Mus musculus: one gene and its partner. The protein of the gene in region 1 binds, or shares a complex with, the protein of each later gene. Links are inferred from orthologs where the notes say so. Each region holds a gene or a part of one and is shown on either strand. Other genes may lie near its edges. The genes, in order: Ercc2 and Polr2c.

The links.
Region 2: Ercc2 (region 1) and Polr2c share a complex: the UniProt entries of both Homo sapiens proteins name them as parts of the TBP-based Pol II pre-initiation complex. The link is inferred for Mus musculus from reciprocal best matches to the Homo sapiens genes ERCC2 and POLR2C.

What each region holds. Positions count from the first base shown.
Region 1 is NC_000073.6:19,380,691-19,384,932, reverse strand, and holds the start of Ercc2 (general transcription and DNA repair factor IIH helicase subunit XPD), read right to left. Parts: upstream 2,917-4,242; 5' UTR 2,879-2,916; coding exon 2,874-2,878; intron 2,655-2,873; coding exon 2,555-2,654; intron 990-2,554; coding exon 912-989; intron 835-911; coding exon 772-834; intron 632-771; coding exon 518-631; intron 1-517. UniProt on the Homo sapiens protein: ATP-dependent 5'-3' DNA helicase. Component of the general transcription and DNA repair factor IIH (TFIIH) core complex, not absolutely essential for minimal transcription in vitro.
Region 2 is NC_000074.6:94,855,735-94,860,256, forward strand, and holds the start of Polr2c (DNA-directed RNA polymerase II subunit RPB3), read left to right. Parts: upstream 1-1,715; 5' UTR 1,716-1,821; coding exon 1,822-1,907; intron 1,908-2,012; coding exon 2,013-2,062; intron 2,063-4,509; coding exon 4,510-4,522. UniProt on the Homo sapiens protein: Core component of RNA polymerase II (Pol II), a DNA-dependent RNA polymerase which synthesizes mRNA precursors and many functional non-coding RNAs using the four ribonucleoside triphosphates as substrates.

The DNA of each region.
Region 1 (4,242 bases):
AACAGACTCCCAAAGCTGTCCTCTGACCGCCACGTGCACACACATACACACAAACATGTAAGGTTTTAAAAAACAAGTGCCTCAATTTCTCTCCAAACAAACAAAAAAACCCCAAACAGAAAACAACGATCCCTGAGTGGCCTTTCTCTGCAAGCACTTGGCTCAGCAGGGCTTTGGTTCCCTGATGTGTGTGGGTTGTGGAATACCGGCATGAACATAATGGATACTGTCAGGCAGGACGTGAGGCTGTCATGAAATTATCTTATTTTGCCTGTATATAAAAATACCCAATCCTTTGAGTAAGCTACCATTTAGATTTTGACCTGTCACAGGTCAAATGTGTGAGTCTGAGGTGCCATGTGGAATGTAAGCAGTTTCTGATCCTGGTACAGGTGCTACCCTTAGCCATAAGGATGAGCATTGGCCTAACAACTGAGCAGCAAGCCCCACTCATACTGACAACGGGTTCCCTCTGGGGCTTGCATGGAGTGGCCCAGGGTGACAGCGCAGGGCTCACCTCGGGATGAATGCACAGGTTCTTTCTTGAGCTCAGAGCCAGTCCTAAGAACGGCAGCTTCTCGCCCTCCTGCTGCTCGTAGAAGCTGAGTAGCTTACGAAGCTCTTCTATGACCTGCTCAGATGATGGGAGCATTAGGTGGGGACCACAGGGCAAGCACAAGTCCTTGCCCACCGGGCTACCGAGGGCAGAGATGGGGGACCACCAAGGCCCAGGGGAGGGGGCAGAGCATGGGTCCCATCTGCATTGCCCACCTTCTCAATCTCTGGCACGGTCCGTGAGCAGTAGATAAGTTTGGTCACCTCCAGCGGATAAGCCTGTGGGTGACAGGGACCTCAGCCCCATCCAGCCCCACCCCTCAGCCCCCACTCCAGGCACTCAGAAGGCCACTCACCCGCTGATAGGCCACAATCAGGGCCAATAGGGACACTGTCTTCCCAGTGCCCGAGGGCATCTCCAGGACTCCATGACCCTGAAAATTGGGCACAGAAGTAGTAAGACACAGGCTCTCTGTCATCAACGTACGCTCTGGGGAACTCTCCTTGACATGCCACCACCCGGGAACAGCAAGGCAACACACACAGCAGTGGCATCGCTGTCAAGGCCCCAGGACTGATAGTCTCCGCTCCTCCTCTTCTGCTGGACTTTTAATTGTTAATTCTTATTCCTCACCCGCCTACCCCAAAGGATCTTGCTATGCAGGCCTAGTAGTTACTAAGAATCTCTGGCTGGCTTTGAACTTTTGGCAATCCTGTTGCCTCTACTTTGAGTACTGGGACTGCAGGCTGAACCCTATTTCTGTGGCCCTCTTACTGACACAGCTAATGAGTTTACTGAGCAGCAGACAGTAGGAACCTTTTACCTCTCAGGATCACAGCATTCTTGCTTCTAAGTAGCTCCATAAACCTTACTTGGAACAAGGTTGTGAGGGCTAATACATTGGTGGGCCAGCAATATGGCTTAGCGGGTAAAGGTGCTTGTGGCCAAGCCTGATCACCCGAGTTCAATCCCCAAGACATACACGGAAGGAAAGAACCAACTCTACCCTCACGTGCACACTGTAGCATGTATACACACATTGGAAATAAGTATACCTAAAAGAAAACTTTTTTTAAAAAGTTTGTGTTCAGGGCTGTTGAAATAGCTCAGCAGGTAAAGGCGATTGCTATCAAACCTAACAGCCTGAATTTGATCCCTAGAACCCACATAAAATGATAAGAAATCTGGGTGGTGTTGGCCTATGCCTTTAATCACAGCACTCAGGAGGCAGAGGCAGGTGGATCTTTTGGGACTTTGAGGCCTGCCTGGTCTATGAAACAAGTTCCAGGACAGCAAAAATCACACAGAGAAACCCTGTCTCAGAAAACACAACGAGGGACTGGAGAGATGGCTGAGCAGTTAAGAGCACTGGCTGCTTGCTCTTCCAGAGGTCCTGAGTTCAAATCCCAGCAACCACATGAAGGCTCACAACCATCTGTACAGCTACAGTGTACTCACATACATAAAACAAATAAATCTACAACAAAACAAAACCGAAATAGAAGTGGAAGGAAAAACCCAACTCCACAAAGTTGTCCTCTGACCTCCACATACGGAACCCCTTCTTCCCTCCACTATTGTCACTACCAGGAATACCTCCAGAGTTTTCCTATACATAGCCCTAGCTAGCCCGAAACTCACTATGAAACCCAGACTGTACTTCAAACTCGAGCAATCTGTCCTCAGCCACCCTGTCTCTAGAATTACAGGCATAATTGTAATTACTATCAGTCAGTTTATGCGGTGCCAGGATGGAACCCAGAGTTTCACCCCTGCTAGCTAGGCTAGCACCCTACCAACTGAGCGACATTCCTCGCCTTGTTATTTACAATTGTTGTTAGTACACGGTCTCGCTGTGTAGCCCCGGCTGGCCTCCAAAATCGCAGCGATGCTCCTGCCTGGGTCTTCCGGGTGCTGGGATAGCAAGGCCCGGGCCCCGACCAGGACGTTTGCCTGCCAGAGGCATCAGAATGCAAGGAGGGCAGCCTCGCCACCCACCTTGGCGTCCAGCGTGCGCTTGAGCTCCAGCATGTAGGAGAACTGCTCCGGGTAGATGTAGTCGTACGGGAAGTAGACCAGCAGCCCGTCCACGTTGAGCCTGGCGGCGGTGAGGCGTCGGTGCCCGGTGCTCTCGAGCCGCCTCGGCCTCCGCTCCGCCCGCCCGCCCGCCCTCGTGGCGTCTCGCCGCCAGGGACCCCGAAGCCACCCGGACCGGTCTCCGCAGCCTCTCCACGCCGCGCCCCAGCCCCGGCGACGCCCACCCGCCGCCCCATTGCCCACCGCAGAGCCGCCCGCTCTTTCAGAGACCCCATCTCACTTCATGGCGGCTGATCGCGGCGTCCACACGCCCGCTCCTGAATATTCAACGAGGGGGCGTGACCCAGAGACACACCTTCCTCGGGACGCCATTGGCCGAGTCCTCCCGTCACTCTGCCAATCGGAAAATTGGCGCGTGCGCATGGCGGTGAGAGGGCGGACTTCGGAGAGAAGTGGTGCCCGAGGCATCGCTGAGGATCGCCGAGGACTTCGAGCAGAACACAGAAAGAAGAGAGTCGAGAGAATCGATAGAGTTCATTGCTGCTTCGCTCCTCCAGGTTCTGTTCTGGTTGTCCAAGTCGTGAAAATAGTGTTTAAGAGAGAATAACAGAGAAATTGGAGACCGTCTTGATTTTTTTGTTTTTCGGGTGTTTTTTTTTGTTTTTTTGTTTGTTTTTTCGAGACAAGGTTTCTCTGTGTAGCCCTGGCTGTCCTGGAACTCACTCTGTAGTACAGGCTGGCCTCGAACTCAGAAATCCACCTGCCTCTGCTTCCCACCACTGCCCTGCCTAGCACGTGTTTTTAAGCATTTATTAATATGGGTTGGAAAGATGGCTCAGACGTTAAAGCATAGGTCACAAACAAACAAAACTTCATTAATTAAGGGCCTGGAGGAATCACTCAGTAGTTAAAAGCACTTTCTGATTTTGAAGAGGAGCAGGGTTCCCAGCCGCCCCACTCTCCACTCCCACCCCCCAAATCAGGCAGCTTATGATCGATCACCTTTAGGGCTAGCTCCATGGAATCCAATACCTCTGGCCTGTGGAAGGAAGAGGAAACCTGCAGAATTTGGTTCAGTCCTTTCCTTCCACTATGTGTGGGAATCGAACTCAGGTCAAAAGGCCTGTACCTCATGAGCCATCTCATGAGGTACAGGCCTCAGTAGACAGTCGTACTATGTAACCCAAGCTGGTCCGGAGCTCACTCTATAGCCTGGGTGGCTGGCCCCAGCTTGTGGCTAACCCACCTGAGGGCTGGACAATGCTGTCAGTTATTTCATATCTCTGGATTCTTGCTCAAATATCACCTTTTAGTCCTTCCTCCCTTCATTTCATCCTTTCTTTTCTTTCTTTTTTTTTTTAAGATTTATTTGTTATATATAAGTACATTGTAGCTGTTTTCAGATATACCAGAAGGGGGTATCCAATCTCATTACTGATGGTTGTGAGCCACCATGTGGTTGCTGGGATTTGAATTCAGGACCTTTGGAAGAGCAGTCAGTGCTCTTAATCACTGAGCTCCAGTCCCTTTTCTTTTTGAGAGAGTCTTTCTACTTAGTTCTGACACTGTCCTAGATCTCACACTATAAACAAGGTTGGCCTTGAACTCACAGAGACCTGCCTGCCTCTGCCTCCGGAGTGAGTGCTGAG
Region 2 (4,522 bases), on another chromosome or scaffold:
CTCCTTGTTACAGCAACTCTTTATTCTCTGGTAACTCTGCCCTCTAAATGTAGTTCCTTCAGGGTTCCGTTTAAGGGCCTCTTTTCTCTGTGTGAACAGCTGCCACTTTTTAGAGGCCCATTTAAACTCCTCAGCTGCAACTACACAGATCTGTAGAAGTGGAGAGCATTGTATCTACTTCAGAAGAACATCACACGATCAAGAGTAGAAGGGAAAGTGTGTATCGTCTAACACATATGGACATTGTTGAGTATACGTTGGGGACCTTTGAGGTGGCTCAGTGGGTAAGAGCACTTGCAGTCAGGCCTGGCATCCTTCCACACACGTGATGTATTGGTACCATTACATACATACACATATAAAATAGAAATACATTTAAAAAAAAATTTTAAAAAAAGCCAGGCGTGGTGGCACACACCTTTAATCCCAGCACTTGGGAGGCAGAGGCAGAGGCAGGCGGATTTCTGAGTTCGAGGCCAGCCTGGTCTACAAAGTGAGTTCCAGGACAGCCAGAGCTATACAGAGAAACCCTGTCTTGAAAAACAAAAACAAAAACAAACAAACAAAAAAACATGGGTTTTGTTTTTCTTGTGTATGCATTACAGTACTCTCTCTGACATTAGCTCGGATGTGGGTCTCTTGTTTGCTTCTTTGTGTGTTATCTAACTGTCCTGAGAGCATCCAGGGGATTCTTCTCTCCATCTTCCTACTCACAGGAGCCTAAGATTAGACTCTTGCATTACCATGCCTCTTTACAGGTGTTCTGAGAATTTGACCTTGTGTCCTTGCACATCAGGGTTTGGCTTCGCACCCTGGAACAAGTGACTGAGGTGCATATTTTACCCGTCAAAGCAGACCTGGCCTCCAGGTTCTCCCAGCATCCTTCAGTCCCCACCTGGCATGCTCTGCCTCCACCCTGAACTTTCCAGCCCAGAGGCTGGGCTGCCCTTCCCCAAGAGGTTCTTCCCTATAGAATCCAGACATTTTGCTCTTGCTCTCTGGATCGATCTATCTCCCTCCCCCTGCCCCAGGCCCTTTCTCTTCTCCCTCTCTGCCCTTCCCATGGCGGTTCCCCGGCCTCTGTTCTTAAGGCCAGTGAACTCACCTGAGAGCAGCTTCCCAATAAACCTGCCTTTTAATATATTCTAATCTGTCTTGAATTGGCTCATTTTACCAGCAGAGAAATAACCTATCAGTCGTCTTGCATGCTTGAGTCACCTCCCTAGCCATTTTGTTCATGTATAGATGTACAACTTTTTAATGGTTTTTTTTAAGGTTTCATTGTATTCCTATGTATTTTAAAAATTATTTTTATGTATAAGGATGTTTTGCTTGCATGTATATTTGTGCACCATGTGAATACCTGGTGCCCTCAGATACCAGGAGAGAGTTTCCTCAGAAACTGAAGCTAAAGATGTTAGGCATCATATGGGTGCTGGGAATACAATCCAAGTCTTACATAAGAACAGCCAGTGCTCTTATCCCCAATGCCGTATCTCCAGCCCCGTATGTAAGTTTAACCAAGTCTCTATCGATCATTGCCTAATGCGTTATTTTTAGCAGTTATAAATAACGTTGGCATGAATGACCCTGTACATTTAATTTTTGTGCTGTATATCTTGGGGATTTCAAGAGTATAGGACCAATGCATTTTGGCGCCGGTGTGGTTAGAAAACACAGGCCAGGAGAGTTCCGGCCTCCGGTCAGCAGGTGGCGCTGCGCCCGCGACTAGCCGGAAGCGCCGATTGCCCCGCCGACAAACTGCTGGTGGCCGCGCAGGCGCGCTGTGCGGCTGGCGCGGGAGCCTGGCGGAGGGTCGCGATGCCGTACGCCAACCAGCCAACAGTGCGGATCACGGAACTCACCGAAGAGAACGTCAAGTTCATTATCGAGAACACGGACCTGGCGTAAGGCGGCGAGGGGAGAGGCGGGCGGGCGGCCGGGTCCTCGAGCTCCTGACCCCGGGGCTGTGGCTTCGGGGCCGCTCACACCGCCTGTCTTTCCTCCTGTAGGGTGGCCAATTCCATTCGGAGGGTCTTCATCGCAGAGGTGCCCATAATAGGTAAGCGACCGTCCCTGGGAGCCCGTGCCGCCCACCCTCCGCCCGGGGTGGGGGCTGAGAACACTGCGGTGCTGTACGCTGGGCTGGGGCAGCCTAGGCCCGCCTTGGTGCGTGCCTTGCTCAGCTGCGGGTTTCCCAGTACTGTTCGTCTACCCCAAAGCAACAGAAATCAAAACCAAGCACTGTTAAACAGCGGAGGGCTGCAGCCTCCTCATCCGGGCGGTGTAGATGCTAGGCGTCGTTAGCAGGTGATGCAGCGATTGCCGAAGTAGTGTAGATGATGCGCTTTTGCTTTGACGTCAGTGTTCGCTACTGGCTGGTGTCTTTTGAACATATATGCTGATTTTACAAAATCATGGGCTTCGTTATGTAGTTTGAAATCTACACACACAGAGTGTACCTGGTCTCTCCCATCCTTCCAGATAGTACCCTGCTATACTTTCTTGTCGTCTCCCCCTATCTTTTTGAAAACCTTTATTTACATATATGTGTCTATCTCTGGGCTCGAGTACCGGAGTTCATGTGTAGAGGTCAGAGTACAGCTTGTAGGAGGGATTCTCTTCTCCCACCATATGGGGCCCAGGATTGAACTCCTTAAGGCTTGACAACAAAAAGTATCTTGCACATCTTGCAGGCTCCGAACTTTCTCTTTATTAAAGAGAGAAAGAGAAAAAGAGAGAGATTCCACATGAGAGAAAGCATGTGTTATAAAGATTTTCTAATTTTGTTTGTTTGTTTGTTTTTCAAGACAGGGTTTCTCTGTGTAGCCCTGGCTGTCCTGGAACTCACTTTGTAGACCAGGCTGGCCTGGAACTCAGAAATCTGCCTGCCTCTGCCTCTGCCTCCCAAGAGCTGGGATTAAAGGCGTGCACCACCACTGCCCGGCTTAAGATTTTCTTTAACAAACAACATACTTTTGTTCCTTATTGTTGAAGTGTGTGTGTGTGTGTGTGTGTGTGTGTGAGAGAGAGACAGACAGACAGACAGACTTCGGTTTTTTGTTTTTTTAAATCCATCCTGGTGTCTTTTTAAAAATGAATTTCTTATTTCTGCTGCATATGTAAATCATGTACGTTTTCAGTTAGAGACAAGACATGAGCAAACATAACAAGGCAAAATATGACACCTTCAGGAGAATCTGACCAGTTTTATCGTTTGTTTGTTTGTTTGTTTTGAGAGAGGAAGGAGGCCAAAAGGGAGTGGAGCGTTTGTAAACATGGACACTCGAGGTTTTCTGAGATGGGGAATTCCCACCAGGGGTCGGGGAATGGGAATGGTGGAAGTAGATTAAGGGCATTCAATGGGCCCCAGAAGTAAATCATCAGGAAGCTTGGTCCTTGCTTGAGTTGAGGAAGCACTGCGGTGAAGGGCAGGTTGGGCCTATCCTCAGCTGGTCTTCCGGCCTCTTCCTGGCCTACATCAGCTCCTTGAGAACTGGGTTTCCAACACCACTGATTTCTGAACATTATTGTTTACATGCAGGTGTTTGCTGATGGGTGACTAGACACATGCTTAAGTGCAGCATCTGTATGCTACAGCCCCATTTGCCCAGCAGTGCCTGGGGGGGGATTGGGTTCTATTGTTAGTGGGCTTTCCCTGGTGAAGCTGTCCAGTGAACATCTACTGATGAGAGGAACACTGAAATTCCAAGTGGGCTATCTGGTTATATCACAAACGAGGTGTGGGCCCTGAAACTTGGGATGTTTTGCTGTTGTGATGTTTTCCCTGACTTTTAAGTTTTTAAAATTGTGTCTCTGTGTGTGGGTGTTTACCAGTGAATGCAGGGGCTGGAGGTGGCCAGGGGTCTCAGATGCCCCTGGAGTTGGAGTTACAGGGGTTGTGAGCTGCCTGACATGGGTGCCAGGAACCTCAGAACTGCGGAGCCATCCCTCCAGCCCATGGTGTCCAGATAGCTTTCGTTCTTGGGTTTGGGATTGGCACAGGTAGCAGATTTAAAGTAATCCTTAGATAAGTATTCAACTCCTTAAATATCCCAAAAAGCTCTAAGAGAGAGTATGTGCATGCATGTGTGGTGTATCACTAGCAAGGCCCATCCCCCACTGGGGCAGGAAGGTGTTATGTATGGCGTGTGGGATGCCTGAACCTGGAGCCATCACTTTGAAGTCACTTTGAGCCTCTTGCAGCCTGGTCAGGACACCTTCAACTTTGTAAGCTGAATTGATGCTTGCTTGCTTGCTTGCTTGCTTTTTTTTTTTTTTTTTTTTTTTTAATTTTTGTTTTTGTTTGGTTGGGTTTTGTTTGTTTGTTTTGTTTTTTGAGACAATGTTTCTCTGTGTAGCCCTGGCTGTCCTGGAACTCACTTTGTAGACCAGGCGCTGGCTCTGCTCCCTGAGCGCCGGGCAGAGTGGAGACAGTGCTGCTGCAGGTCTGTAGATGTGTCTGGTGACTAGTCCTCACTTACCCTGTTTTGTTGCTGCCTTTTCCAGCCATCGACTGGGT